Linked DNA regions of Caenorhabditis elegans. The protein of the gene in region 3 purifies or fractionates together with the protein of the main gene of each other region. This does not show direct contact. Each region holds a gene or a part of one and is shown on either strand. Other genes may lie near its edges. The genes, in order: edc-3, plp-1, car-1 and aka-1.

What was found.
Region 1: the proteins of car-1 (region 3) and edc-3 purify together in Caenorhabditis elegans (affinity purification with mass spectrometry, with the first as the bait; one large-scale study listed by BioGRID). This does not show direct contact.
Region 2: the proteins of car-1 (region 3) and plp-1 purify together in Caenorhabditis elegans (affinity purification with mass spectrometry, with the first as the bait; one large-scale study listed by BioGRID). This does not show direct contact.
Region 4: the proteins of car-1 (region 3) and aka-1 purify together in Caenorhabditis elegans (affinity purification with mass spectrometry, with the first as the bait; one large-scale study listed by BioGRID). This does not show direct contact.

What each region holds. Positions count from the first base shown.
Region 1 is NC_003279.8:8,599,449-8,607,419, reverse strand, and holds edc-3 (DFDF domain-containing protein), read right to left. Parts: upstream 5,296-7,971; 5' UTR 5,267-5,295; coding exon 5,145-5,266; intron 5,100-5,144; coding exon 4,813-5,099; intron 4,693-4,812; coding exon 4,586-4,692; intron 4,539-4,585; coding exon 4,424-4,538; intron 4,375-4,423; coding exon 4,229-4,374; intron 4,184-4,228; coding exon 4,020-4,183; intron 3,974-4,019; coding exon 3,874-3,973; intron 3,827-3,873; coding exon 3,551-3,826; intron 3,146-3,550; coding exon 2,878-3,145; intron 2,832-2,877; coding exon 2,716-2,831; 3' UTR 2,258-2,715; downstream 1-2,257. Other genes in the region: idha-1 (putative isocitrate dehydrogenase [NAD] subunit alpha, mitochondrial), read left to right, coding at 203-296, 344-490; F43G9.13 (Vesicle transport protein), read right to left, coding at 888-980, 1,043-1,122, 1,169-1,253, 1,778-1,880, 2,050-2,120; snrp-27 (U4/U6.U5 small nuclear ribonucleoprotein 27 kDa protein), read right to left, coding at 5,515-5,622, 5,691-6,050; ddx-52 (putative ATP-dependent RNA helicase DDX52), read right to left, coding at 6,687-6,894, 6,941-7,507, 7,557-7,715, 7,761-7,915, 7,962-7,971.
Region 2 is NC_003282.8:7,630,291-7,636,576, reverse strand, and holds plp-1 (Transcriptional activator plp-1), read right to left. Parts: upstream 3,218-6,286; 5' UTR 3,148-3,217; coding exon 3,010-3,147; intron 2,965-3,009; coding exon 2,848-2,964; intron 2,619-2,847; coding exon 2,298-2,618; intron 2,251-2,297; coding exon 2,146-2,250; 3' UTR 1,924-2,145; downstream 1-1,923. Other genes in the region: nep-16 (Peptidase M13 N-terminal domain-containing protein), read left to right, coding at 159-597, 641-784; warf-1 (ADP-ribosylation factor 1-like 1), read right to left, coding at 928-1,011, 1,117-1,314, 1,360-1,469, 1,517-1,664; F45E4.6 (EGF-like domain-containing protein), read left to right, coding at 4,049-4,142, 4,472-4,587, 4,631-4,701, 4,748-5,019, 5,219-5,336, 5,396-5,647, 5,695-5,806. UniProt on the Caenorhabditis elegans protein: Probable transcription activator. Binds telomeric DNA containing repeats of the sequence, 5'-TTAGGC-3'. Binds to end-1 promoter, activating end-1 expression, which is required for endoderm specification during embryonic development.
Region 3 is NC_003279.8:12,901,978-12,908,467, reverse strand, and holds car-1 (Protein LSM14 homolog car-1), read right to left. Parts: upstream 3,999-6,490; 5' UTR 3,993-3,998; coding exon 3,747-3,992; intron 3,697-3,746; coding exon 3,507-3,696; intron 3,455-3,506; coding exon 3,011-3,454; intron 2,964-3,010; coding exon 2,821-2,963; 3' UTR 2,428-2,820; downstream 1-2,427. Other genes in the region: coa-5 (Cytochrome c oxidase assembly factor 5), read left to right, coding at 5,019-5,309; Protein pad-1, read right to left, coding at 6,126-6,236. UniProt on the Caenorhabditis elegans protein: Transcriptional regulator. Involved in modulating embryonic expression of ATP-dependent chaperone cdc-48.1. May play a role in mRNA gene silencing, and RNA granule (P-body) assembly.
Region 4 is NC_003280.10:7,471,648-7,482,208, forward strand, and holds aka-1 (FYVE-type domain-containing protein), read right to left. Parts: upstream 6,891-10,561; 5' UTR 6,886-6,890; coding exon 6,679-6,885; intron 6,628-6,678; coding exon 6,358-6,627; intron 6,309-6,357; coding exon 5,463-6,308; intron 5,414-5,462; coding exon 5,243-5,413; intron 5,199-5,242; coding exon 5,035-5,198; intron 4,990-5,034; coding exon 4,512-4,989; intron 4,467-4,511; coding exon 4,235-4,466; intron 4,184-4,234; coding exon 3,996-4,183; intron 3,186-3,995; coding exon 2,921-3,185; intron 2,866-2,920; coding exon 2,675-2,865; intron 2,629-2,674; coding exon 2,551-2,628; intron 2,503-2,550; coding exon 2,433-2,502; intron 2,386-2,432; coding exon 2,126-2,385; intron 2,076-2,125; coding exon 1,927-2,075; intron 1,882-1,926; coding exon 1,804-1,881; intron 1,754-1,803; coding exon 1,645-1,753; intron 1,600-1,644; coding exon 1,501-1,599; 3' UTR 1,082-1,500; downstream 1-1,081. Other genes in the region: ubc-6 (UBC core domain-containing protein), read left to right, coding at 7,628-7,658, 7,748-7,953, 8,008-8,092, 8,145-8,250, 8,298-8,635, 8,683-8,861; cah-2 (Putative carbonic anhydrase-like protein 2), read right to left, coding at 9,270-9,356, 9,402-9,491, 9,539-9,670, 9,725-9,879, 10,231-10,297, 10,340-10,516.

The DNA.
Region 1 (7,971 bases), 4.3 Mb from region 3:
TAAACACATAGAAGTGAAATCGAAAGCAAAAAATACGAAATTATAAAAGTAGGAAATACTAAAAAAGTTGAATTTGATGAAATCTTGCATTTTTTTAATCTTCTCAATAAAATTTAAATCTAATTTTTTTTAACCTGAAAACTTTATTTTATAGCGAAATACAATTTTTTATTCAAACAAAACTTACCAAATTTCTTTACAGATCCGTTCACGGAACCGCCCCAGATATTGCTGGACAAGACAAAGCAAACCCAACTGCTCTTCTTCTATCTGCCGTCATGATGCTCCGTTACATGGTTTTTATATCGTAGTCGGTCTAAAAATTTTACAAGCTCATTTTCAGAACCTTCCACAACACGCTGCTCGTATCGAAAAGGCTGTATTTGATGCAATTGCTGATGGACGTGCCAAAACTGGAGATCTCGGAGGTACTGGAACTTGCTCTTCATTCACCGCTGATGTTTGTGCCCGTGTTAAAGACCTCGAATAAATGCTCAATGCTACTTCCCCTTCTATTTTCTTTTTCTTATTGTAAACAGGCTGTTAGACACTAAAACACTTTGATGATTAGTAATGATTTAATGACACCTTTTTTCGGTTTTCAATTTTGTATAGATTACCCACCAGTCCATCCCGCGTCCTTAATCGCTTTACTCCTATCCCATTGGCATGAACCACAAAATCGTTCGATAAGTCTTCTCTGATTCACTCGCATAACTATAAGCACCCCGAGACTTTTGTTTTTTCTTCTTCTACACCATCTTTCGATTCCCATTATTTCTGTTCATTTCTGGAAATTTTTATATGGTTTTTTCTTTTCGAGATTTTATAGACAAAGAAACTAAAAAAATTTATTAAAGCAATCGTTTCTACATAATCACAATAAGTTACAGCGTCGCGTGGATTCGGGTTACAGAAGTCACGAAAATCAGAAGAGTTTGAATGATACCCATTATTGCACAATACCAAGTGCTCACAGCCTGAAAAATGTTTTTTCCCTCAACTTTTTAACTTCTTGAAAAGTAAATTTTTTTTAACGTACATTTTTCGAAGCGTACATTGCCAGTGCGAGAACCATTGACGTAGGAGCACCAAAAACGAAAGGAATGATGAACATCATTACTGAAAAGTTGAAATTATGAAAAAAAAAAGATTTTCAGAATCTTACTGATAAATGGAATTGGAATAAAGCAAACGTATGGATGTTTTCGAAGAGTGAAAAGGGAAAGAATTGTGGCTCCGAGACTAATTACCTGGAACAATTGAAACATAAAAAATAGTTTCTGAATAAAATATGTCATATTACCCGTAGCAAATTATGCCAAAGAATACAGACCCCAGTTTCGACACGACTAATATACTTGTTGAGTGCATGGTGTGCGTTCATCTGTTTTTATCGTTATTTATTTTTGTTTTTTACAAAGGAATAAATTAATTAAATTAAAAAACCCGTAGGCAGGAGTTTTAAATTACAGAACACACCTTTTTGCATTTATTAAAAATGTGTCGTATCGAGACCGGGTACAGTATTGTTGCCAACAATTTTTCGTCTGTGTAATAAAGTCAGTTTTTGTTAGGGCATTTTGGTGAATTAAAAGGTGTTTAGAAGTAGGGACTCGGAGTTTGGAGTAATCCTAGCCACTTTGAAAGAAGTGTTAATAATATTGCCAAAAAAATATAATACACAGATTTTTTTTCTGGAAATGCAAAAATGCCAAATCTTCGAATTTTTGGAACATTAGAAATTTTAATAATATTTCATGTTTCCAAAACTTACCATAAAAGAAAGTGACATCCAAAGAAATATGCTTAATGTGATTTCCCACCAATCATTCATATATTTTCCAGAAAGAAGTAGTGCACCGGCCAACGAATAAGTGCTAGAAATAGAAAACATTAAAGTATTTCTTGTGGAGATTTTTTGAATTTTAAAATCAAAAATGAGCTCATGGATAGAATAAAAGGGCATGTACAATCACATTATACATTAATTTCATTGCATTGTTAACGGTATGCGGTATTCAGTTTAGAATTTAGAAAATTTCTCACCTTTCACTGGTTAAATTTGTATAATTTCTAGAATTCTCGAAAATCGTAATTATTTCTTTATTTTCCGGCATCTTGAGACTCTTGATTACATTATTTTTAATTCAAATTCTGAAAAGCAGAATAATAATTTCAAAAATTAGAGATTAAAAGAGATAATTTGGAGGAATTAAAACTTTTTGTAAATTTAAATTGAAAACATGAATTCTCGATCTCTAATATTTTATTTTTCGGTGCTAAAAGTAGACGTGGTTGGGACAATAAGGTATATCAAAATATAAGATTTGTGCAAGAATATGGAATGGAAGATACATTTCAAAATTCAAAAAGTTTTGGTTCTTAGAATGGAAATGTGCAAGTCAAACGGGACAATACGAAACCACCGATATATTCCAACGACTTGCCAAAGGGAAGAAAAATGATATTGGAGTGATAAAGTAACGCCGACTGTGGGATTTTTAGAGAAAGAGAACAAATGCTAAACTACACGATTTGGTTTGATTTGGGATATCTTATGGAAGAATTTTACTATTTTGAGAACAAAGAAAATCACTCGATTCATTGTGATTGAGACTATAGAGGGATCGCTGGAGAAAAATCAAAATGATACTGAACCATGTTGGGCGAATAAAAAAAGTGTATGTCAACAGGAAAAGGGTTTTAAATAAACTAATTGGATTGTGAAAGTCTGACAAGGAAAGTTGTAGAGAATGCGGTAGAAATGAATTTGGAAGATGTGTTGTCGAACCAATTCGATGGAGATCCGAGGTCAGCAATGGCACTATCTGGAATTTTTTTTTGAATTTATTGAGTAGAAGAAGTAAACCTTACCAACAAGAATAGAACTTGTCTCCTCGTGCATTTTACCCTGGCACAAATGTTCAAAAGTGATACCTCCACGATTTATCGTTTGAACCTTACGTTCCGCATGCCGAAGTCCGTTTGTAGCACATCCAAATTGAAGCAAATGGCATCGAGATGGTTCGAGAACACTTGGAACATTTTCAATGCATACGTAATGAGAAGAAGCTCCATTGCTTTGAGCACGGAGCCAACATTCAACATCGTCGTTGACGACTGGTGAGAGAATACAGATTATCTGCAAATATTACATTGAAAATTATTTTTTTGTGAGAATTTTTGAACAAGGATGTTATTCGATATTCGATATTTTTGGAAAATTGATTGAAATCGAAAATTTTCGGTCATTTCTCTATTTTTCCAACAAATTGTATTCTTGATCTCATCAAAATCGGCAAACATTTGATGTAAAAATTTTATTTTTTCGATTTTTTTTAACAATCGAAAACATTCGTTTTTTCGACGATTTTTTTCGCAAAAATTTGCAAGATACGACTTTTGCAGCAAAACTTTAGTTTTTTTGATTAAAAAATCATCAGAATTCTGAATTTTCGGTTTTTTGTTAATGTTATTGCAAGAATTTTTGTTTTTTTAATACTTGCAACAAAATATAAATATTTCCGAATACATCTAAAATCCTGACCGGAACTTCTCTCGGAAGCATCTTTACATCAGTGACCACATTGACATGATCAAAGATCTCTCCTGGATATTTTCCGAATAAATGACAATTGTAACGTCGCTTGTCGAAATGGGTGAGCAGACGACGAATGGAACGAACAGAGTTTGCAGAAGATGCGAGAAGAACTACAGTTCCATGTGCATCACCATACGAATTTTGAACTTCTGAGACCCATTGGAAGATGCGATCGGCGACGATTGTGTCGTAGACAGCTTCTCCTAACGAAACCCTACATTCCTAAAAGAACATCAATTTTATATACTAATTTATTGGAAATCTCTCACATTCAAAAATTCTTTCTTTTCATTCAAACTTATTGCAGGAATTGGATCTCCAATAATCGACTTCTCAAAACTCACAGCAGTAACTCGGAAGTTGTTCTTTCTAGAATTATTACAACTATTTTCATAATATTCATTAAATAACTAACTCAGATGTCTGAGGTGTCGTTCCTGTCTTCACAAGTTCAGATCGTGCCTTCAAATTTGTCCACGAGGTCACTCGATTCTCATCGTCAATTATATTTTCGTAGTGAGCAAAATTTTGAGAGCATTTAAATTTTTCAACTGTCTCATAGTACTGGTCATCATTCTCCTGTAATATTTGTTTAAAACAAGAAAATTTCATGAAGAATCTCACATCTTTCTCGAATAATTTCAAATTTTCCGCAAAATCAAAATCTGAATCCAAATCAAAATCGATTGGATCAGCGAGATCATTCTTGTTTCGGCCACCAATTCCCTTGTAGTGATTGAGAGCGTCAAGAACTGGATTTCCAGACGGTCCTGAAAATCGAAACTTATATTTTGATTTTCAAATTATTAGAATTCTAACCCTGCTTCTTCGAACATCTTCCCCCATTCGAAGCGATTGTGCTCAAAACTTTTGGGTTCGGAACTTGGCGATCGAAACTTTGGAAATGTGGTGTTGCTGAAATTTCTTCAGCTGTCTGAAATATGTTATTGGTAAAAGAAATATATCATAGATTTATCATACATGAGAGAATCCATTGTGCATTGGTGATTGACGGCTCTGTTTCTTCGCAAGAGTCAGCTTGGATGGTGTCGAGTGATGTTCAAAGAGTTTTTCAACATTTGTCGCAACTGGAAAAATACATATCTCCTTCAAAAAATATTTAATTTTTGTATTTTTTTTTCAACTTTTACTTACTCTCGGTTAAGATAAGGTATTCAAGTTAGATAAAACACGTTTTTTAATCATACATTTTTTCGGTGATCGCCCCTTTGCCGATTTTTGAGGAGAAACTGCAACTGAACGATTGCGAGAAGAATCCGGTACTGAAGAAGCTGAAGAAGATGCGGTGGAAGTGGAAGATACAGTAGATTCCGCAGACTTCTTCAAAGGTCTCTGTTTATTTACACTATTTGAGGAATTTTGAACTGGCAAGGGCTGGGATTTTTGAGTTGACTGGGTAGCGCCTCTAATCACTTTCAATCGACTAATGTCTGACGACGAGAGAGTAAAGCAACGATGAAGAGGAAGTCCATTTCTGAAAAAAAACACATTTAATTAAAGATTTTATTGAAAATCGTACTTGATAACATTCGCCATGGTCAAATTCCCATTATTCGTATCATACGTTGTCAACTTTCCTTGATAGACATTTCCATCTTTAGTTTCGGTTGATATGACGCTTCCAATGAGTTTGTCATCCATTTTTAATTTGAAATCAGAAGAATTGGAACCTTAAAATTAAAATTATAAATGGGGAATCGTCCGTAGAGCGATAAAAGATAAAAAAGGAATAGAACCTCGGAAAAATATAAATAAGAACAAAACATTTAAAAGTTCTTATTTTAAAAATAACGTTCCGGTGAAATAAAAATGATTTGGGTACAGAATTATTCTCTAAATGAAAGAGATCAAATTGAAAAGAAAAACAATAATTATTGCAAAAAAATAAATTATCCCATAAAATCAAGTGGACGATTGAATCCTCCCTTTCGGTTCATGTATTGGCGGTATCTGCGAGGTTTCTTGATGTTCACGCAGCCATCCACGTTGTCATTGACCTGAAAAATTATAAATCTTTAAAAAATTTTAATTTGTGGAAGAATATTCAAAGATAATAAATATATACCTGTTTATTTTTAGTTGTATCGAATCCACCAAATCCCATTGCAGCCATCATCGCTTCATCGTCTGCTCCACTTTGTAACGACTCTAGACTGATCTCCTCTTGTTTCTCTCGTTTCTTTGGCTCACGATCCTTTTTTTGTCGTTCACGATCACGTTCTTTTCGATCCCGTGATCGACTTCTTTCCCGCCGATCTCGTTTATCGCGCGGACTTCTGCTTCGACTGCTTCTCTTTTCTTTTTCGTCGCGATTTTTGCGAGCATCTCGACGTTCACGACTTCTACTTCGTTCTCGCCTTCTTTCCACTGATCTTGATCTGGATCGTCTCTTCCTATCGCGACTGCGACTTCTGTCACGTCCCATTGCTCGCGAACTGAAAAATAAACGAAACTTGTAACGAAAGTAAAACGCAAAGCTATTTACGAAGCTTGAAAAGAAAAGTCGTCATAAAGAATTTTTCCGCGGAAAATTCGACTCAATTCTCCTTTATTGTCATCATAACGAGTAAGAAATGAAATAATTAAAATTTTATATTTCTAAATGAGTTTTCTGCTCTAAACCAGAAGCCGAGTACAAGGAAAAAGAATTAGTTTGTTTTTCAATAAAACGTTTTTTTTTGGACAAGAAAAAAAAGAAATCGAGAAATTTATTGGACAAGAACCAAACAAAACTGAATGCTTGTGAAATTTGCTGAAATCGTCGATATTTTCGTTTGTACGGTGGGGCGCGCTTTCTCTTCTCCGTTTCAAAAAAAAAATCGGTTTCGTCCAGAACATCATAACAGCTTCGGCGTGAATTAAAATATAGTTTCAATGAAAAATACATTATAATCAACTTAAAAACACTATGTTCTGGATAAAATGGAGATAATGGTAAAACTTTTAAATTGGACTCGATTATTTCAACAACGAAAAACAGCAAAACAACAAAAAAACAAAAAAATCCTAACAATTTTCAACTGAAACAACAAAACAATTGAGCGCAAAATTCGCAAAACATTTATATATTCTTATTGTTCTTCTTGATCAACTTCTTTTTCTTGATTTTCTTCTCTGGTTTCTCCGCTGTCTGTGTTTCAGTTTTATTCTTCGCTTTTTCCTCAGCGGCTGCCTTTGCTAACATTTTCTTCTTCTTGATCACCTGCTCTTTTACAATGGCGATTTTGTGACGCTTTGGAGCATGTTTGAGCATATCCTTTTTACGATCTCTGAATTAAAAATTGAGTACTCAGAACAATAGGATTACCCTCAAACCTCGAGACTTTTTTCATTTCCATTAAATACTCCGGCACATCAAAACCAGATTGACGGATAACAGTTGCAATTGATTTAATATACTTCATATCAGCATCTGTGAAGTATGTGACAGCATGACCACTCTTTCCAGCACGACCAGTTCTTCCAACACGATGAATGTAGCTAACAATTGAAGTTGGCAAATCATAATTGATAACCAATCCAACATCAGACAAGTCAAGACCTCTTCCAAGTAATTCAGTACAAACGAGAACCCATATCTCTCCTCGACGGAACCTTTCCATCGTTTCATCCCTTTCCTTATCACTTTTTCCACTGTTGATTGAATCAACTTTTAGATTTGAATCAATTGCAGACAGTAATTTCACCAGTTGCACGGCACGATCCTTGCTTTGTACAAAAACTAGAGCTGGTGGTTTGAAGGAAGTTCGCAACAAATTTCGAATAGCGATTTTCTTTCCATCTTCAGTTCCACAATAGGTTAACTTTTGCTTCACACTTGTATTAGACGAGTTTCGTTCACCAACACATACCATACCAATTTCATCGATATTCTCCTTACACCTGGAATTTAGATATGGAATTTTGATATGACAAATCTTCGAAAACGTACCATTTTTCAACTTCATGTGAAAATGTGGCACTGAAGAATGCGACACGTGTGCATTTGGCATCACAAGCCTTGTAAATTGCAGCGAGTTGGTTACGGAAGCACTTGTCCTGGCCTTCAACAACCTCGAACAAACGATCGGATTCATCAACGACAAGCCATCTGAAAAAATGAACAAAGTTTTTAGGGAATGGTTCAAATGCAAACCTTAATGAAGACGTATCAATTTTATCCAAATGAAAAACGATACGATTTGGAGTTGACACGAGGATATCTGCATGCTGAATATCAGTTTCTTCTCCACTGAAGTTGGCAGCTGAGATCGAAGTATTGGCGCAATATTTCAAAAATTCGGTGTAAGTCTGAAAATCGTTAAATTTGATTACGATTCTATAAATTCTGTAGAACCTGTGCTGCT
Region 2 (6,286 bases), on a different chromosome or scaffold from region 3:
TCATTACGTGTGTGCTGATTTATTTTAAGTGTATGGTTAAATCGTATAGGTACTGTAGCTAGCAGGAGATCTTAATTTCAAAAAACATGTTCATTCTGACAAACTAAATATCAAACTTCGCGAGGCGAACTTAAAATTCCTAATACAAGTACTTTTAGTGACGACACAACGACTTTCCCAATAAGTGATCCAACAATGCTTTATAATTCTAATGTTGGAGCAATAGTGATTCCACTTGCATTCATTGAACCTCCAATTTATTTACCTGGTGATGAAGTTCCTATGTATGGTATCTATTCAAGTCTTGGAATAACCACGCTTCAAATGATTTCAAAAGTTTTTTGGCAAGGCTTAGATAAAACGTCTCAACTGGAATGTCTTGACAACGTATTCCGTGGATTCCTGGATGCAAACCGACAGAGATCACCAAACATTGAACCTGAACTTTTAGCAACTATTGAATTAGCAGATGCATTTAAAAGTGCATTGTATTCTTATGCAAAATGGCAAAATGATCATCATATTCATCACGAGAAGACGCTTCCAGCATTCGATTCAACTGATAGTATGAGATCTCTAATGCTCACTTTTTCTACGGTACCATCTTTCAGTAATTCATTTTAAACCATCAATTTTTCAGATGTTCTGTAGCGGAGAAGGATCAGAACCTGGAAGTGACTACGAAGCAATGATCAATACAGTTGCTGAAAATTCTCGAATGTTTTCAATACATTTTAACTGTAACAATTCTAGTCGTCTTTACAACCGTCGAACTTGTTTATGATTGTTTTTTCAACCTGTGATTAATTATTTAACTCTAATTATCTTTTCCTTAATTCAAACTTCCACAAGAATTCAGTTATGAATAACACTTTTCAATATTTTATTCAATTTCTTATGAAAAGAAATGAAATCATTTAGCAATCCTTATGTCTTCATCTGCTTCTTGACCCACATCAGACCTTCGTAGAGACCTTGTCCAGAGTGAGCGTTTGTACCACAGATGAACCACTGAAAAGCCAATTGTATTATCATAATGTCACAAGATTTTGGCATTCCTTTTAGGTATATATATCCTATAGATTATAAGGTCTACAAAACAATACAACTATATACCTCTCTATTCTTGAGTGAACCCAAATCAAGCAGCTGAGTCAGCTCGGCTGGTGATCTTGCATTCGGCATATCCTGCTTGTTTGCAAAGACAAGCAAATGAGAATCCGCAAGCTCTGGCTCGGCCAGCAAACTGAACAATTCCTCCTTTGCCTCGGGAATCCGCTCAATATCCGAACTGTCCACCACAAACACTAATGTCTGAAATTAAACAATTTTCGTTGTATAATTCCTCTTGATAATTACTGTGGTATTTGGAAAGTAGTATTTCCAGAGAGCACGAATTTTCTTCTGACCTCCAACATCCCAAACAGTGAGAGTGATTTTTTGGAAGGTAACAGTCTCCACGTTGAATCCTTCAAACAAATACTCAAGTATGACCACATTTAAAAAGTGAACAAACCAATGGTTGGAATTGTATTGACTGTCTCATTAAGCTTCAGCTTATAGAGAATAGTCGTTTTCCCGGCTCCATCTAAACCGAGCATCAATGTACGACATTCGATATTTGGAAACATGAAGGAAGAAATTTTAGAGAAGAATAAGCCCATTTTGAACGAAAAAGACTTTTTGAAAATGCAGAATACGATATTCTTGAAGCTATGTCGACAATCAGAGTTATTTTATCCATCTCCATGGCTCCACGTTCCAGCTAGTGAGTTGGCCGTTTTTTGCGTGTTTTAATTTCTGTTGGAAGAAAGTTATTACGAAATATTTGTTCACTTAGTCAGACCCGCCCTTTTCTGGTTTCGCAACAGGTGTTCGATAAGGAAACGTAACTTTCCCTGGCAAGAATAATTAAGACACGAATTTCCCGAGAATTTATTAGAGTTCAATAAACTTGATGCTTAAATAAATAAATAAACGAAACAGGTAGAGTGAAAATACAGGAACACAGCAGTTTAGAAAAATAGGTAAAATCTTTACATGCAAATGCAGTAAAGATTTGGAGGGATTTTTTGGGAGACTCTCGAGTTCGATAGATGTTATGCAATTACGATTGTTTTTTTTGCAGAGAAAACTTGTAGATCACTACTTTCCTTGGTTGGCGATGATGTTATCCAACTCTTTGCGGAAATCGACGAGTGCGGACATTGGAACGGTGATTGCGTTACGATAGCCGCTGTTGAGTTTGATCTGAATATAAAATTAGAATAAACTTCTATTTGACACAAAATTATTACTTCCGAGATGCGAACAAACTCTCCACGATCGTTCTTTCCGGAATGGAAAAGGAACGATTTGTTTTCAGCAGTGATTTTTGGAGTGTTGGTGTTCTCCTGTTCGTGTCCCTCTCCGAACTTGGCCAAATATTCGGTTAGCACCTTATGAATTTCGGCGATTCCATCGGATGGAATGGCGATTTGTTGGCGAGTTTGACGTGGGTTCATCGGCATCTGAGCAATGCGCAAAAAGCGACCACGAACATTTTCCTTCAGATCGACGTAGAATTTTCTCCCGTCGACATTGAGAGTCTCTGATTTGATGAGAGAGCTTTCCTTTGGCTGAAATTTAATATTGCATTAAAAAAGTTTTTAATATATTTTTTTTTAATTTTTATATTAAATATCAATAAAATTATGGGCATTGAAGCAGGTATATTCAATTTAGAAATCCACTTTTGTTTTCACTAAAAAGTTCATCAGCTTTTCAATTGAAAAAAATCAGAAAGAACATTTTTGCCTAGAGCGTGTATAAATTGTTACGCCACTTCTTTAAATAATTGCAACTTACAGCGTGTTCACCAGTTGATGGTTCATCAATGAGGGCAAGCATCTTCGAAATCTCACTCACGATTGCCTTGGCAGCGACGATGCTTAGAATAATACGGCTCTTGTAATTTGTACCCAACTGAAAAATGCTAATATTAGTACGGGAAGTTAGTTTCGAAGCAACCTCAGCAATCTTGATGTAACGTCCACGAGTGTTCTCATTGACATCGATGTAGTATCGCTTGTATTGAACAGTGAGCTGGTGAGTAGCCAGAGAATCCTCGGCACGCTTGGTTCCCCTTTCAACACTTCCGTCCGACATCCTTTACCCAGACAATTTCCTTTCGAACAAACGACTATGGTGACAAAAGACACCCCTTGAACCAACTGGTCTGCAAATAAAAAATATTTGAATTAAAATAATAATAATTCCATTGAGAACAAAAAGAAAATTACATATTAGATAAAGTGTAGCCATAAAAAACGTTACTTAACATTCTAAAACATATTTGCATCATCTGACGAAACATTCTCAAGATAAAATTATCCACTGGACAAGGCCACTCGTACACGTTTGCGAACACAACAGCTGGTAAGAAATAAGAGCGCTTCTGGTTCGCATAAATCAAGGCAAAATCGATATTGAGCGAGAGCGAGGGGACACCGAGAGTGTGGGTCGCTACCCACTGAAATATATGCATCACTTTCACTGCTTTCGGAAGTTATAAATGGCTCTTTTTAAAATAGAATTGACAAAATAATTAGAAATCATTCCCGGTGACAGCAGGAAAGAGATCAAAAATTAGGATGAAGAAGTCACTGAAGAATCAAATCTTGTGACCTTGACAAGAAGACATGATGGCAGGAATAAATATAAATTGGTTCAACAGTATTTTTCATTATGTTAAGTTCAATTTTCATTGAAAATACATTATATAAAACGATAAAAACAAGATTTAGAAAGGAAAAAAAGCTAAAAACTCACAAGAAAATTTGATTGCTTACGAAAGTGTGCAAACACCGAGACGCAATTTCACACGGAAACAAATACGCGGCAAAATTCAGAAATTTGAACACTATTATTCAAAATATACGTTTAATAAATAAATAACCTTCTGAAACGTGGGAACATGAAACGTGTAACATATTTTTTTCATCAAAATGCATAATCGTCAAAAATCCGATCAATTTAATTTATTTCTCTATTTATCGGTGCAATTGAAATGAAGCTAACAAGGAAATTCACAATTCACTTGCAATTATTTATTTACGCAAATCTTGTCAACTGCTTTTCGATTGATTCACCGGAGAAAATAGGTAAAATTGCCATTTCGTGGACCAGGAATGTACATTTTGTCGTGAATAATCTGAATGACTGTTTAGAATGACGTTTCAGAAAACTGAAATTGCTGTATTGTAATTCCACAAGATTTTGGCATGACTTCTTAAAGGCGCACGGATTGATTCAGATTGGTCTCGGCGCGCAAAAGTGTATGATAGTATTCTTTTGTAATTTTTGCGCGCTGTGACCCATCTAAATAAATCCGTGCGCCTTCAAGAAGGCATGCCAAAATCTTGTGAAGTTATGTACGATATCACAATTTCTAAATTTATAATTTTCACTCATAAAATCAATAAGAATTCAGCTCTGGAACCTAATACGTTGATTGTGAGAGATACTCAAGAATACTGGGCACTTGGTTGGCCAACCTCCATATCATGTGATTCCAAATCAAAACTAGAAGATATAAATTCTGGAGAAGTAAGCATTTTAAAACATTTTTGATTTAAGATTGAAAATTTAGGGCCAAAAAATGTATTGGAAGATCAGATACCCAGATTCGAAAGGTGAAGAGACATTAGATCAAGACGACAAGTATGCAGCGCTGAGTTTTATGTTTTTTTAAATAATATAATTTTAGAGCAAATTATGATTATATGAATAACCTCCTACAAATCAAAAACGTGTCCCGAAATTTCAACAACACAGTATTTGAGTGTGTCATCGAACGGCCAGGAAATATCACAATGATCAGTAGACATCGAGTTCAAATTCAAGATTGCATTTTTCGTAGTCCACCGGATACAACAGCATACAACTTGCATAATCCGTGTGCTTATGGAAAGTGTATGGTTGAATGGGGAAGAGTGGAATGTCTCTGTTTCAGACAATACGGTGGAATTCATTGTGACGGTAAGTTAACTTACAAAGTTTCAGTTGTTAATGGAATTCAATTGTGTAAACGCGTGATTCATTTTTTGTGACAGTTCTAGACCGAGTTTGACCAAAAATATTAACTTGTTTTAGAAGTTAGCAAAGCTTGAGCACAAGTTTGGCGTGTCTTTGACACATACTACGATCAAGTTTAACCTTGATCCTCTTCTTTTTCCAGGTCCAAAATGGGGTAATTGGTACCTTAATCTTTTTCCATTTGTGCTAGCCAGCTTCGTTATCGGCTTGTTCATCATATTCTTTTGCATAACTTGTATTTACCAGGATGACAGGAAACAGTATGTTTAGATTTAGTAAATATTTTAAATTTTGAGTTGTTATTTGAAATTGTTTTCAGAGAAAAATTGATGGAAATATCACAAGTTGTTGGACACTCGGATCGTATCGATTTCACACTCTATGATTTGTACCCATTTGTCGGGAAACTTGGAGGTTGTATCTATACTGAAGCTGATGCAGTGGATGATAAGAAGTATGAACGAGTAAGAAAAACAATTACGGATTTCCTGCAACGAGGGGAAGACGAAGAAAAAGATGAACAAATCGGAGTTACAACAGTTGGAACTACGATGGAAATCCCTCCAAAAACGTATGTGCTAATTGTTTTAGTTCAATTCACACTTTGTTTATTTACAGCACAACTAGAACTACTACTACCACAGCGAAAACGACAACAAAAGCTTCAAAAAGTTCAAAAACAGTTGGTACAACAAAAAGGGCATCTGGCATGACAACTGTTGGAATGTAATATTCGGTGCATCAATTTTCTACAAGTTATTAAAATATAAATTCGTTTGGTTTATGTGAATTTATAAATAAAATTATTTTGAAAACTTAGTGTTGAAATATCTTTTTTCTTTCTGAGTGAGGTGAAGTGGAGAAAAATTATCTATTTATTTGCAAATATATTGTGAAGATAAGAAAAACGTTCTGTAGCCGTGCATCCGTCTAAGTTCGGCCTTTGTTTGCAAATTCATTATAAATCTTTCGATGTAAAAATCAACTGTAATTTTATTCTTATAGTTAGGCTTTGGATTTGAGAATATTACATCGTTTTTTTTTATTGGAAAGTGGTTATTTGAGTATTACATGCTTATATTATCTAGAGCGATTTTGAAGAAACAATCTATATGTATTAATATTCTGCGATTTTCCATTTCACAAGACTAAATACATCCATTCTAGTTTCTTCTGAAATTTTGTAGAATTCTATTATATTATTTGTGGA
Region 3 (6,490 bases):
ATCCAAATTTGGTGGAGCGCAGAGTGTTCACAGAAGATGCAATTCGGGGAAAATTTCACTGTAACTTCCATGGAAACAACTTCAAAGTCAATATCGAAGAGTCTAAATTTGAGATTCGCAAGGAACCAATTTCTGATTGTCCGTGGGAAAGCAATCTCTTTTGAGCTGACAATACTAAATTGTGTCCTTATTGCATTAATTAATTGTCTCATTAAATATTATGCTTTATCGTAAAATATGGTGTGTGTTGATGGAGGTTTATGTGTATGCCCTTACTTTTTTTCGTTTTATGGATTACATTTTATTGAACAAATAAATAATTTTGTTAATACTAAAATAACTTATTAATCATCGCAGAAAAATAGATGAAAATCAGTTTTTTTTCAACTTTTTGTAATTTTAAAATTAAATATTTCGTTGAATTTTCATTACTTTTCAATGTTAAACCAGAAAACTGAAATTTTTAAGTGAATTTCAATAAATACAAACAAATTATATTGCGCGTCATATGGAGCGCATTGTGCGCAACTTGCGTACATTGAGAACTACCGTAGTGACCCTACACGTAGAATGAACACGTTGTCATGCCACGTGTCCAGTTCCAGTTCGAATTACTTTTTTTTAATCGTTTCGGTCTTCCTTTTCGAATTTTTTCTATAGTGCTGCTGTTTGTTTCAAATTCATCAAAATCAATATTCAGGTAATTCTTCAAAATGGCCGACCCAAATGAAAGTGGCTTGTCGAAAAGTGTGGAAATAGGCGGAATTTCGGACAAATTGGATTCCATGAAATTGTGAGTTTTCAATCTGAAATTCGTCTACATATTCAATCTCATAATTTTCCAGATCGAAATCAAAACTGACATTTACCGATCTGCCAATGGATGCCCTCTACGAATGTTTCAAACAATTGGATTATCTGGAGAGGTAATAACATTTTGATTTTATAGTTTAGCAGATCAAAGCAGAATCCTATGCAATAAATACCTAAATTACAAATAATTATCCAAATGCCTTTCTTATTTCAGAATGCCGCTTCGAAAAGTGTGCCGAAAGTTCAAAAATGCGGTCGATGGGATGGATCCCGGATTCAAGAAGATCCGCATTTGTATTTATGAACCGGAAGCGTTTGATGTCGAGTTTGACTCGAACCTGTTCTATTTTGTGAAGGAATCCGGCAATGCCACTCATTATTCAAAATTCAACCCTCGAAAGATGCTTAAATGGAAGTTCGGTAATGGAGAAGATTCATTGGAAGTTGTTATGAAGTTCGTGACGAAGATGATGAGTGAGTCACCCGAAAGCGAAGTTGGAGATTTTCCAAATTTATCTCGGCGAATCTTGTGCGCCTTATGAAGACTTCTCCAAATACTGCTGCAAACTAATCGAAAGAATTCTAAAACAATCGGCCTATCCAAATTTAAAAAAGATTCATTTGTTCGGTCTCAACTCTCGTCAAACTCCATCGATTCTCCGTCATTTCAAGCCAGGAAAATTGGAATTTCTCTGGTCAGATTCATTTAATGCAGAAACAATGAAGGAAATGTATAAATTGGATCAATGGAAAATGGCAAAATCGGTTGAAATTTCCTAACTTTTTTTCAAAAATCCGTTCAAAAAGTTTGAGCAATTTGAAAATATCAAAATCCGTGATCAATGTGCTCCTGGAATACCGTCGACGTTTGGCTATTTATGGAATTATCATCGCTATGCCAAATTGGTTACTGTTGGAAAGGCTGTTGAAATCAAAAATGTAAGTTATTCCACCTACACTGCTTGTAACTAGTTCAAATAACTTTTCAGTGCCTCATGAAGTCCACAAATTTCAAAAAATGGGAATTCTGCATGGGTATGAGTTTGGACGCTGCGAGAGTTTTCGATCCGAATGCCTCTGGATTCGAAATTTCCCGAGATGGAGGAGTTAAGGGAACTATTCGCTGTCTCTTCAAAGGGCATAGCGTCAAAATCGACTTTAGCCCCTGGAAGTTCGAGATCACCAAGGAATAATTTTATTATGTATTTTCTCTTTTAATGTTTAATTTATTTCTTTAATGTGTTCACTTCAATCAGTTTCGCTGAATAGTTTTTATAAAGTAACATTTGTTAGCTATTCTTTACGTATTTAGTCGCCAGAACAACTATCGAACTTTTTGAAATTACAGCAAACTTATACCAATATTTTTTGACACCTTACATGTCCAACTGGCTTCCAAGTTGTAGAAAGAAAACATCGAAGCAATGATACAAAACAAAAAGTTTATACGGGGAAATCACAATTTCTCAGGGCTTGTCTACCTAAGAATGAAGGGTTTGCAATATTATAGCAAATCTAAGAGAAGATCTTAAAAACAATTTCATATCTCCTAGAAGACAATCATAAAAGGCGGGGTGTGGGATGATAGGAGAGCAGGTGCAAACGATTTGACAGTTTAGTCACTGCAATTTTATTAAAATGACAAACTGAGGACAACAGAACGACATGCTTTAAAATTCACAAGCTAGAACTTAAAAAAACGGGGGAAGGGTCCAATCACTATTGTAGTGGGGGAAGAAAAAACATTGGGAATTTTTTGGATGGGAGATGTGTGTCGGTGGGTGGGTGCGCAATAATTATTACAAAATAACAGAAGGCCCGCATTGAATCGTACGAGATTTCTAAATAATTAACGGGTTTCTTATAACACGCCAATAGTTGAGAAGAGACAAGGGTAATCATTGATGGGGGGGGGGGGAGAATGGATAAACTTACATAATAAATTAACAAACGGCTAATATCGGGGTATGGGGATGTGGGGAGAAAACAATTTCAGGGAATTCGAACTTATTGTTCGGCAGCTGCGGCAGTATTGCCTTGGTTGTCACGTGGAGCATATCCACCACGACGGTATCCACCGTTGTTCTGACGATAACCTCCATTGTATCCTCCACGGTGCTGGTGTTGATGCTGGTATCCGTTGTTGTAACCTGAAAATTGAGCATAAGACGTTGTAACTTCTAAAGTGGAACTATACCTCCATATCCGCGGTTTCCACCACGTCCTCGTCCTCCGAATCCACGACGGTAGTTCAACGAACGCACTGCGTTGTGTCCGAACGTCTCCTGATTCGTTTCTCTCTCCTTCTTCCAATCTGGCCGTCCAGTCTTTCCTTCGGCTTTCTCCAGTGATTCACAGCTGATGTTGTCAAAGAATGAAGTCTTCTTGTCGTAGAAGGCAGCATCCTTCTTCTCCTCAACTTCTGGCTCGGCCTTATCCTCAATGTTGAGCTTCTCAAGGTTGTCGACGAGAACTTCTTGGAACTTCTCATTGGCCTTCTCGAAGTCAAAGTCCGATTCGAACTTCAGCTTTTCGCGGTGATTAACTCGAGGAACTCCATAATTGTTGTGCCCTCTTTGGTTGTTGTATCCGCCAGCGAATCCTCCGCGGTAGTTGTTGTATCCACGGTTAGCTTGGAAGTCTGAAAACATGATCATAAATCCAGAGTTGATTTGAAAGAAAATAAAACTGACTTTGCTGATAACCTCCACGTCCTGGACGTTGATTTTGGATGATTTGGCCTAACGGACTGTTACGGGATGGCGTTCCGGCTCTGGAAGAACCTGCAGAGGCAGCTGGAGCTCCGTCACTTGCTGGGGCTGATCTCGAGGAGACAGAGATGATGGCTGGATCGTATGGAAGCCCTCCTCCAATGTTGGCCATCTGAAAAGACATTATTTAGATCAATGAAGCTCGATTATCCGGCAACTCGCCTTCGGAGTATCACAAACGATCAAATCCTTGATGTCGCTGGCCTTGAAGATGATGTACTCGTAGACATCATCACGAGCGGCGACCGGATTAGCAGTTGGACGCTTCTCGGTTCCGAACGAGCGAACCTTGGCCAACGCGATGGTAGAGTCGTTGGTGTCGACGGTGTAGAGGATTCCCTCGTAACGGATGTCGAGCTTGGAGATCAGACTAATCTTGCTTCCGATGTACGGTGTTTGATTCGACATTATTACCTGCAAAAATGTAATATAATTTAAGTTTCACAACGTTTGAAGAAAGACGAAGAGCAATATTGTCGGGAATAGGAGAATAAATTAACAACTGAAACCGTGTAAATGTGCGCTTCTATCAATCCTAAAACAAAATCTTGCGGAATACTACGAAAAATGTCGAAGCGATCTCAATTGTGTCGAGAAACCTTAGAAATTAACCTAATTGGCCTAAAATCGATACGGAGGTGTCAATAAGTCTTAGAGGAACATCAACGATAATATACAAGGATAACACTGACAGTTTAAAGCCCTAATTTCTTATAAGAAGTGGGAAAAGCTGCAAAAGTTTAAAAGTAAAATGCGAAGCCGTCATCGTTATCGATTCTGCGCCGATGGAGCGTGATTGCATCCGTCTGCCCACTTATTTTATGAGGTACTGCGCAGCCACGGCCGTACCATTGCAGTAAAAATAATTTTGAGTATTAAGAACCGAAAACTCACTAATTGAACTTCTCAAACAGCTAAAAATCGGCAGAAGAAATAAAAGGTAAGCTCAAACTTGAAAATCACAAAAAATGGGAAGTTTCTATCAAAATTCGCAAAATTTAATGATTCTAAGCTGTAACTTTAAGTTCATCACGTCAAAAATAATTATTTTAGCAATAAAACATTGAAAATTTCCCTAGAAAATCAAAAAAAATAACGAAAAATCAACAATTTTGCGAAGAAAACAACAAAAATCCTAAAATGGCGCTGCACCCCAATCCCATTTAAAGGCGCATGTTTTGCTATAGGTTTTTGTGGGTCTCGCCACGATTCTGCAAATCTTGGCACCGTGCCAACTCCGTAAATCGACACTAATTATTTTTCAAAATTTAAATGAAATAAAATCAATTTTTGTGCGAATTTATTGAATTTTCTCGTTTTTTTGTGATAAAATTGTGAAAAAGACTGAAATTTACTTAAATTTTATTGTTTAAAACTAGTTATATCTTCTAAAATCAATTTTTATTCGATTTTTCAGGCAAACTCCCGCGAAAAATGGCCGGAATCACCGCACACTCCCAATCCCAACAATTTGAAGAAGACGAATTCAACGAGATAAAGAAGACCGGTGTATCGTGTGATCGTCTACGTCAAGCACTCAAAAAATGCATCAAAAACTCGCATTGTGTGCAAGTTCAAGCTCGATCTGCGAAGGAATGCATCGATGCACGTGGCGACGGAAGTGTACCCGACAAATGTTTCGCCGTTCTCCAAAATTTCACCGACTGCAAGCGATCACTGGTGGACATGAGATCGAGATTCCGAGGAAGGAAGGGCGATCTTTGAGCGAATAATTCGAAAATTTTCATATTTTTTGTTACTTTCTTTTTAGGATTTCAGCTTTCTCTATAATATAATACGTGTATAAATCTATTTTCCAGGAAGAATGTGTTAAAAACTTGAGAATTATCATCGTATCGCTAAGCTGGGCCTGTGGATTCGGCTTTTGGGAATTTCCCGCAAAATATTGAACTTTTCGCCTAATTGGCTGCCATATGACTCCGGAACTCTCGACTTTTGTCAAAAAATTCGAAATTTTCGAATTTTCGCCCACTTGAATCCGAAATTTCGCACATTCTTCGCCATTTTCTTGCCAGTTGTTCTAAAAACTTCCAAAAAAGGAAGCAAAGAACCCAATCAAACGTGTATATTTATTTCATCATGTATAGGAACAGTAATAATAATACGAAAGCAGTGACGGGGAGAAGAGAAGGAACGCAGAAAAAATTAAAGAAATTGCAATAAATCGTATATCTGGGGGATTTCGATCGATAATCAGGGAAACACTCGGAATTGGAACAAAAAAAAGTCGAAAAAAGTTGGAAATAAAAATGTTGCCTACCCAGTAGCAGCGGAAGAATAAATAAAATCTGGAACAAAAAAAAAGAAATCCGGGGAAAGAAAGAAATGAATCGATTTTTGTATCACAGGCGGGGAGGGGGAAAGGGTGGGATTTTTGAAGCGGAAAATTGGTGAAAATGGAGAATTTCCACAATTTCCACGAGATATGTACACGAAAAAAAATGATATTAGGAGAAAAACGGGGGAATTTTAAAGCAATAATCAATAATTAGAATGATATTTCCATTTCCACAGACACTTTTAAAATTGCAAATGTTCAGAAAAATCCACGTAGAGAGCCGATTCGAGTCGGGCCACGGCGTTTTTGTAGGTAAGGCTTCCGGAGAGAGCGTGAGCGTCGCGGAGTGTGTTCTGGAAAAAATTTGGGTTAAAAAATGGCAAGTTTTTCGATATATCGCGATAAAAATCGCTTTTTTTCTTAAAAATTTCAAAATCTATGGGAACTTCTGATTTTTTTACAGCGAATTTTATAATTTTCTAGCTCAAAATTCCTCAATTTTCCGGTTTTTTGACAAGTTTTTCGACAAAAAACACTTTTTCCTTAATTTTCTTCCTAAAGGCGCACGGAATTACTCGAATGGGTCTCGAAGCGAGAAAAAGTTTAT
Region 4 (10,561 bases), on a different chromosome or scaffold from region 3:
GAGAGGGCGAGGTACTGGAGACGTGATCGACACCGACTACATACATTCTACACGGCCTCAACAGTATTTGAGCATTCATATATTAACGTGAGATACCCATTGGCGCTATTATGCTATGAGAATACGTATTCCGCAACACATTTGACGCGCAAAATATCTAGTAGCGAAAACTACAGTAATTCGTTAAAAGACTACTGTAGTGTCGATTTACTGGCTAGTTTTTGAAATATAAATTAAAACAAATTTTTTACTGATCATTGATTTATCAATAGAGTATTAAAATTTAGAAAAAAATGAGAAAATTCATTTCAAAAATCGAGATCCCGTAGATCGACACAAGCTCTACAGTAGTCATTAGAAGAGTTACTGTAGTTTTCGCTACAAGATATTTTGCGCGTCAAATATGTTGTGGAATATGCATTCTCAGAGTTTTGTGTTGCCGTAATACTCCACCTTCATTGAAATGTGTGGTATGGTGATAATCGTAAGATAATTATTGTAGAAATGTCTCAAGAGCGTGTTCACATCATACCTAGACCGCCGCCTGGATACCAAACTGTGGTAAAAATCAGAAAACGATTTCAAGACAATCCTATGTCATTGGAACTTTCAATCTCGGAAGAACCAATCGACTCACAAGTTTTGGATGTAAGTTTTGCATGCCTCAGATACTCCGTTTAAACACTTAGAAATTCTTTTTTATGATCAATACCCTCAAAACAAAAACCAAACTTTCGCTAACAAGTGTATTTATCTAATCTACATAAGATTCCAATTTAGGTCAACACGTCGTCGTCCACCATCACTGCTCGTTGCCCGAGTCCGCGTGTTGGATCAGTGGCTCGACCAACACGAACATGAAGACGTCCAAAGCAGTTGATCATGGATCCAAGCCGGAAAAAATATGAAATCGCATAATGTTAATAAAAATTGAGTTATTTGTACTGTGTTGTGACATTTATTTATTTTCGGCCTTGAGCACTTATTTCATATATGTCGTTTCTACTTCGCTTTGCCTTTTGGAAGATGGTCAATGCCAATTGGAATGTGCATGCATTTGAGTATATGAACAAAACGGTGGTTTCAATTGGAGAACTGCTTCTTCTTCTATAAATCATCATTATGCAAAACATTGAAAATTAATGGGATGCGGAAAGAGAAATCAAGGGGGTGAAACGGAAGGATTTAAATTACAAGTTAACTCCGCGACTAATCAAATAATAATTGAAAATCCTCCGAGAAGAAAATCGATCATGATTAGTATAAAATGTGTTAGAAGTGAGATGGAGTGTTTTGGGGACTACAAGAAAAATGGAATAAGTATCACAGGATTTGGATACACGAATAAGCGTTGAGAATGTCTAAAGAGAGACTAGTAAAAATGGATGCATTCTACAAAAAAAAGGTTAAAAGTGGGTGATTGCACATTGTAATGAAATATATGGAAATCTCTTAGGAAAATGGGCAACAGAAAAATGTTTCAATTTGGATCGAAAGGTTTCAGATTGGAAGAGCTCTTGTAGACACAATTGAGAGTACGAATTCGACTTCAAAACCATTTGGAACATACTCTACCATATTGTACAACATTGGAATAAGCTGAAAATCAATGGGTTCTGGTCTGAGCATAAATTAAAAATATACCTGATCAAGACTTTGCTTGTATTTGTCATTTTCGGCTTCTAACCCGAGCCATTTCGAAACATCGTACTCGAACTCATACGGCGAAACGAATAAACGAATAGAAACGCTTCTGAAAATATCAGAAATCACGGAACAAGTTTTTTGTCTCAAAATTCTTACCCAATACCAGCACAAATTAAATGTTGAATATGTGGCTCAAGCATTGCAACGCATTCCCTCGCAGCAATTTCAATCATTCTGAAAATAGAAGAACATAGTTTAAAATAAAATATTACTGATTACCCATAAATTTTAGGTTCTTCCTCAGGCTGAAGTCTACCATCACCGAGATTATAAACATGTGACATTCTGATTCCATAATCATTTATTCCCTGAACTTGTAGAACTTGCGTCAGAGCTCTTTCGAGAGACAATCCATATTGAAATTTGTTCTGAAAATTGGAATTGAATGAATATTTGAACATGAGATCCAGATCCTTACAATGAGATAGAGGCCGTCTATCTGCGATTTTGGATAATAATCACTGTCTGTACAAATCCAGTTACCGTCTTCGACAAACTCGACACGAAATTCCATATCTTTAGATGATTCAACTGCATCGTTTCCATCGTTAATTGCATTTAAAATAGTTTCCAATCGCTCGCTTTGAAGTCTTACAGCAACACCATCCTCAACAACATTTACTTGAAGTGAACTGACTTTCGATCCACCATCGAGAATTACAAATGATGCACTTGTAGCTACAAAAACGAAATTTAAGAACTTTTCTTATTAGTAAGAAACTTACATTCTCTTTGTCCAATATTTTTGGCAAACACTTGAGTCGAATAAAGCCCTGGGTCAGTTTCCTCACAAACCTTAAGCAATGAAATTATTCCGATAGTAAATTATAAAAATCCTCTTACAAGTACACTATCATCTTCGCAATGCAAATCACAACTCCAAGCGACCATTGAACGACTAAAGTTTAGAACATCTTTTAACTGAAAACAATTTTTTAAAATATTTTTCAAACTTTTGCTAATAAACCTCTTTAATTGCCGATTTTGGAATTCTGATTACAGTTTTATCATTTGTCAACGAGACTGTACATCCAGAAATGTGACGCATTCTATAAGACCAAGACCGGAAGTCAGTGAACACCTTCAATACAGTTCCGGATACATCAGTGCTGTATGTAGATTCACGGCCAATACTATTGACAAACGGTGTTGGGAATACTGAAATTTTTAAAAATTATAAAATTATATAAACAAAAATATCAATGTTACTTACCATTGAACTTCTCGCCGAGTTTATACAATAAACGATTAGGAAGAGCTGTCGCCCAATTGAGTTCATCATCGTGCAGGAAACAAGCAATCAGAAATGGATTTGTGGGAATTCGCATATTCTTGAGACCAACTTGTACAGTAGGCCGGAAAAACATAATGTGTTTAGTTAATGGATAAGTTGGATCTGTAACAGAATGCACACGCATCAGACGATTTTCAACCTTTCTGACACCAGCGTATTCATGTTCGGTGGATTGAGTGTAGATCTGTAATGCAAGCGAATTTATTTTAATTTTATAGTGATTTTTTGTTGATTAATTCTGGTTTTAATTCCTAAACCAATTAGCTAACTTTTATAAAAAATATAGCGTCTTTTTTGAGGCAGCGTTTAGAGTTTTTTTAAAAATTAAAATTGTTTTTCAGTAAAAAAGTTATTTTTCGCATTAGAAAGGGATAAAAAATTCTGATTAACCCAAAAACTGATAAATTTTATATTTCTTTCACAAAACTACATTCGAATTTATAAAAAAGGTGCAAGAGGCACCACGTTTTCAAGATCTGTTCAAAAACAAGATCTACGAAAACAAGATCCACCAAAACAAGATCTACATTTTCAAGATCTACCAAAACAAGATCTACGTTTTCAGGATCTGGCACCGTGCCAACTGCGATTTTCTCGAAGAAAACGAAACAACGATGCTCCGATGTTACGCGTCGCGTGTTGTTTAGCGTTCAAACGAATATTTTTTGAAATTTTCTTCTAGAATTTACGCTTAGCAACACGCGACGCGTACGCGCGCGTAGAGAAAACCGCAGTTGGCACGGTGCCAGATCCTGAAAACGTAGATCTTGTTTTGGTAGATCTTGAAAATGTAGATCTTGTTTTGGTGGATCTTGTTTTCGTAGATCTTGTTTTTGAACAGATCTTGAAAACGTGGTGCCTCAGGTGCAATTTTGATGAAGAAGCTTAGGTTTTTCAAAATAACGCTACAATCTTACAAAATTTTTCATTTCCGCTTCGTATTTTTTTATTTTTTCGTTTTCGAAATTTAGATCATGCAAATAATAATACTCACCAATGATATACGATGTAGAACTGGGAGAGGTAAAACTACCAATGCAGATTTTTCATCAAGTTCGGGTTCTTCTGCATCAACTTTTTGTTTTTCTTGATCGTTCAAAGTCCATGAAAACATCAATTCGTCGAGTCCAATTTGAGCGAAACCTTGCGTTGATACAGCCCAGACGAGACCGAAGTTAGGATCTGGAAAAATAAACCTTATTTGCAAAAAAAAACATTAAAATGTATTCTTACTGTTAAAAATTTGTACAGTGCAATTCAAATTTTTTTTGAGAACGACAGTGACGACGGAAAAATTGCAAAGTGTTTCAAGAACAGTGGATGCGTCTTCGAATTTCGGATGTTCACAATCAGGTTTCACAATTAATAATTTAGTTATTCCTTCTTTCGGAAGTGCACAAGCCAGTTCATCCTCCATCCGTAATTCTGCTATTCTTCTGACTACTGATGTCCGTTTCCTTGACTTCTAAAACCATTCGTTCATTGGCATAATCTAACATAATTCACAAACCTTTTTTGGTTTAAGTGCAGTTGATCGTTCTTCTTCTGGATTTCCTTCATCGGCAGGTGCACCTGGACGGACTCCATCCCTAAACATTACCGATCTTCTTGAAGAATCTGACACATTTCCCGATGTCGAGTGAGCTTGACTACTTGTTGATGCACCATCTTCTTCATTAACATGTACCGTCGGTTTGGTTTTCAGTACACCGCGAGGAATTGAGGTGGAAGCAGCTGGAATAGAACTGATCGTTTCATCTCCACTCAACCCATTTTCAGAAGCGATTGATTCTCTCCGTCTCTGTTCATCTTGCTCATGGGTTTCAATTCTGGCAAGCATTGCAGAACATGGTTTACATACTCGCACAGCTTGCAGCTTTTTGCCTTCTTCTTGAAGATATTCCAGGAAAGCTTTTTCGTTGCAACAAGAACCACAGAGAACGCGTCCGCATGCACGACAGTGATGGCGTCTAGTAATAATTGTGAACCTGAAAAAAATACAAACTAGAGGCCTATTCCTAATAAATTATTGCCTTGTATTGCACAGCATACAATTTGGGCATTCAGAATCTGGAATCCAATACGGTGATGTTTTTCCGAGTTGTAATTCTGATTCGGTGAGTCTCCTTTCTCTTCGTGGCGTTGCTGATTCGTCTGAGTCAGACTCGTGAAGAACGTGAATGGTGGCTATGGAAGACTGAAACAATTGAAATTATTCTGGATGTATATTTGTGTACAAACATCAAAGCGTGGACGATTCTCAGTATTTTCCTCGTCGTTCTCCTCGATTGAGGAATCCGTGTTTTCATTGACAGCATCTACTACTGTGCATTCATCTTCAACATGTTCAACATTTTCTAACACTTCTTCGTTGTTTACTGATGCTTCTGATTGAGAACCTTCATCGGGAAACTGTAAAAAGTAATTAATTAAATCTACTTAATAAACACTCTTGACTAACTTCATCTGAATTTTTATTTGTTGATGAGTCGGCAGTTTCTGGTGACAATGTTTCCTGATCTTCAGTTTCCAAGTGAATCTCCGAATCATCTACGACTGATTGCTCAGCAACTAAATGTGCAGTCGAGGCTTCATTCATTTTCTCATTCACAAAAGAAGATTCAGAACCATTCTCGATTACAACATCAGATTCTAAATGGTCTTCGATATTCTCAAGAACAGTTCCGCTGGTTGAGTTAGACTCTGGAACATCTTCTGACTCATTTTGCACAATCGCCTCAGAGTTTTCAATAAATTCAACATCGATTTTCTCGTTTTGAAGGTTCTTCTCTGTTTCCGAAGAGCTTTGTGTCGGTTCTTCACTAGCTTCATTTTCTTCCGCTACAGATTGCATTCGTTCTTTCTTAGAAGAATTTTCCGGCTCAGAAAGATAATTGTGATTATCTGCGTTGAAAGAATTAAGAGAAGAATGAGTACTATCGAGACTCATTGCAAATACATCGGGCACTGAATCATTTGCTTCGTAAAATTCTTTAACAGCAGGATCATAATGCATTTTCCGATGATTCAAAGCCTCGGAAATTACCAGTTCGGAGAAACGATCAGCAAATTGATAAAGTGCTGATTCATTTGCTGACTCTTCGATGGAATCACGTCCTCCTTCCTCTCTCGCAGGTTTATCTTTCAAACTCGACTTATCGACGCTCTCGTCATTTAGGTATGCCAGCATATCTTCCATTTCGGTATCTAAATCGAGATTTGGTTTTGATATTGTGGCAGTAGGCTCCGTGTCTCTTGCAGTGGCGTTGAGATTTGAAATAATTTGTGTTTCCGGAACAAGAGTATCCTGAAAAATTATATTTATAATTTATTTCCGTTTATAATAAATTACATACCTCTTCTACTTCTGATACTTCTTCAGGTTCTGGTTCTGGCTCAGACTCTGGTTCTGATTCTTGAGAAAATTTTTGTGTTATGACTTTTTTGGAAGGATCGAAATTTGTCGCGTCGGAATAATTATGAACAGATTTGAGCTTGTGAGCAATTTCTTGACGTGCCGAAACTTCATTCTCTTTTCCTATATTTCTTTCATCTGAATTAGGCGGAAAACTTGATTTAGTTTGAAATGTGTTTGGAAGCTGTGAAGTGTCAATATTGATGTTGCCCTGGAAACAAATGTGTAATTGTAAGATAAAACAAGTGCAGGGAGATCTTACTTCCATCTGTTCATTCATATCCTCACTAATCACAAATTTTGAAACGGTTACGACAGTTCTTGGAGCCGGATTGTGTTTTATGCCACGTGGTTGCATTCCTATCGATGTTGGTGGCAAGAGAGGTTTTGATTGAACACTGCAACATTTCTTGACCAAGTCTGACTCCATTTCGTCGAGAAGGTCGTCCATGTCAGGTACTTCCTCCATTGTGACTGCAAGAATATTATTGAAAAAATAACACGGATATTCAAGTCAATGTTAAAATCATTATGAAACCGAAAAAATTGTCGTATGAAAGTTCATGCGGAGGAAAATGTTTTTGCGAAGAGAAAATCAATATCCAGCGTTTTAGAAATATGATTTAAGCAAGGATAGCGTTTTAGGAATTTCTTCAGAATTAAAAACGGACAGAAAATCGTGTAAAGACTACTTTTACGACGCGGAAGTCTTGTCAACAAGAGAGAAAAGAAAATGCGATCAAGTGGTCGGTTGTCCGCAATTTGGCGTGACGGTGTCTTCTAAAAAGAATGTGTGCAATTTGACGTGACGGTGAACATTCTTTTCAGCTGACGTGAGACCCGAAGAACTCGGGGGATGTCCAACTGGGGGGATTACCAACTCGGGGGATTGGCCCGCCCACAGAACCGTGGCTTGCAATACGCCCATTTCTGCAACTGCCGCACGGTTTTAAAACTGTATTTTTCTCAATAGAGCGAGAATTAACAAGAAAAAAATGATTTTAAAACCGTGCGGCAGTTGCAGAAATGGGCGTATTGCAAGCCACGGTTCTGTGGGCGGGGCCAATCCCCCGAGTTGGTAATACCCCCAATTGGACATCCCCCGAGTTCTTCGGGTCTCGCTGACGTTGGTTTCGGTTTTCCAGTTTTTTTCTCATTTCCGTCTTCATTTATTGTCATTTGACTGAAAGTACGAGAATTTAGAGAATAAAATGAGTGAGCAGTACAACACTAAAAATGCCGGTGAGTCTTTTCAAATTTAGCAACTAAAACAAACGAGTTTGTTTTAAACAAAAGTTCTGATAAACCGATTAAAATGTTTTCCGTTACAGGTGTGCGGAGGCTCATGAAGGAAGCCATGGAACTGCGACAGCCAACGGAAATGTATCATGCACAACCAATGGAAGACAATCTTTTTGAATGGCACTTCACGATTCGTGGTACTCTCGGGACTGACTTTGAAGGCGGAATTTATCATGGTAGAATTATATTTCCAGCAGATTACCCGATGAAACCGCCAAATTTGATACTTCTTACGGTATGTTCAGTTTATTCCTTGCAATTACATAGTCTACACAATTTTTCATTACAGCCTAATGGACGATTTGAGCTAAATAAGAAAGTATGCCTTTCGATTTCGGGATATCACCCAGAAACGTGGCTACCATCTTGGAGCAGTAAGTTTTACAATGGTCTATTCATTTTAAGACTTTTTAATACATTTTGCAGTTCGTACAGCTCTTCTCGCGTTGATTGGATTCCTGCCAAGTACCCCAGGAGGCGCGCTTGGTAGTTTGGATTATCCTCCCAAAGAGCGCCAGCGTTTAGCCAAATTGTGAGTCTCATTTTTTATTTGTTTTTAATCAAGTAGCGTATTTATAGGAGCTGTGAGTGGAAATGTAAAGAATGCGGATGTGTCATGAAAACTGCGCTTCTTCCGATAACTGAAGATGGACAATTAAAACAAACCGAAGAAGCGAAAACTCTTGCTGCCCAACTCAAGTTTCAAGATGAATCTGTTGTTAAAAAAGAAGTTGAAGCAGCCAACAATCAAAAGAACCCGACAGAAACAGAGCCAAGTGAAGAAACAAGCTCGGTCCCAACAGAAAATGTCGAAGAATCAGAAGAAGATGCAGATGAGAGAGAAGAAGGTACTACTGTTAATGTCAATTCATCAGAAGTACCAGATGTCGCACAACCTGCTGTCCAACCCATTCGAGGTACTTGAATTGAAACATTTTGTCTTGAAAATAATTTATATTTTCAGATCCACAACCTCTGGTATTCCAACACCACGCTCCCCGCTTGGCATCAACAAACTTTGACTATACCCTTCTATACAAGATTCCAGTTATCGCTTTGTGTTTCGCTATTTTCTTCACACTATTGGCTCGTCGCTTCCTTGTCGATAATCTAACTTCACCAAAAGACGGTTCCGAGTTGTAAATACATGTATAATATTATTCAATCCCGTTGTACTTTTTCCATTTTCTAAAATCAAACTTCGTGCAATCACTTGCCAGTTATTTCTTGGCTCTCTCCTCTCAGTTAGTATTTAGATTCTAATGAAATTATCACAAAATATTTGAGTATCTTTCTTTGTGATTCTTATTTCTTGAGTTCTTTTTTATTCATAAAATTGGTTTTAACTATTTGTTCAGTCAAAAAATATCACAAAATTCTACAGAAAGAGAGTCAAACACTTCATTTAAAATCGAACCCGTATTTTATAGTTCCAAAGTGTCATTAAATACAGAAATACACAGATCAATAGTTAAATCTTTCGGAGAAAGAATGAGCAAGAACGCGAAGTTTTTCAAAGTGAAAGAAGAGTAGAGAATGTACAGTAATTTACTAAAATGAACCGGCTTTGGAAACATCATCAGGACGAATGCTATCGATTTCGAAAACTTCCGATGTTGGAACATATCTTCGAGAAACCTGTTGAAATAAAATATTAAAATTTATCTGCGACGTGTATCTTACCGAATCATTCCGCTTATTTCTACCAGGATTCGCTTGGTACCCCATTTCCACGTAAACATTCGATGGACAACTTGAAGATACAGTAGACTGCTGAACAATTAACTATATTAAAGATTTGGAAGACCAAGTTTTCTCACTTTTGATCCAACATTTATATTTGTTCTAACGAGACGGCCATTTAACGATTTCAATGGACGATATGCAGGAGTCATATATGATGGTTCTGGTTGTTTTGTTTCTGTTTTTTGCATTTCATTCCAAATTTGAAGCTGAAATGTTTCAATTTATTTCAGCCCTTTGCATTAGATTCATTTATGACTTACATCATCATTGGTTATATAAATTGGATTATTTAAAATAACCCAAGTGACAGTTTCATGACATCCGGGAAAAGTTAAAGATCCTTCGTATGTCACATAGTGAGAGGTTTTTGGTAAAAGTGCAGATGGTTGAAAATCAGTGAGATTTGTAGTCTGGCCTGAAAAATGAATCTAAATTTTAACGCAGTTTGAAAATGCCGTTTGATTTTATGAAATATTTCTTGTTATCGTAATTTGGTAAGGCAATGCTAAAGGCACAGGTTTTTTCCAGTGGGTCCCAGACCACCTTGTCTTTTTTTTTCCGTTCCAAATTTAGCAGTTATATTTTTCACACCAAGATTGAAATAGTATTCATGTAGAACAAACTCTAAAAATATGGTTGCACCATGTTCCAGATGCCAAACAAAAAGGATCTTACACTGTAAACCGGTCATCCGGTATTTTGAGTGAAGATTTTGAGTTTTTCATTTTCAATTATATACTTTCTGTACCATTGAAAAAACACGCACCTTTATAGTTAATGCTCTGTGACGCAACCGTTAATCTTCGTAACTCCACAGATGTAGTCTTTCCAATCTAAATACAAATTTTGACTTTAGAAAAAGTATAAGTACTTACATCAACAATTACAGAAACTGCAAGAAGCCCTCTTGGTGATGTCATTGCAACACTGAAATTTGGATAAAGTGCACTATTATATGCTAGTAGCTGAATTTCCGCCGGAAATCGAACTCTGTCTACAGTATGCTCTGATCCTTTCTCTCCTTCATCTGCTCTTCCAAAGTGTACGCTTATCTGAATTAAATTTATTTGCTCGTGGTCTAAAAATTCCTTTTCGAA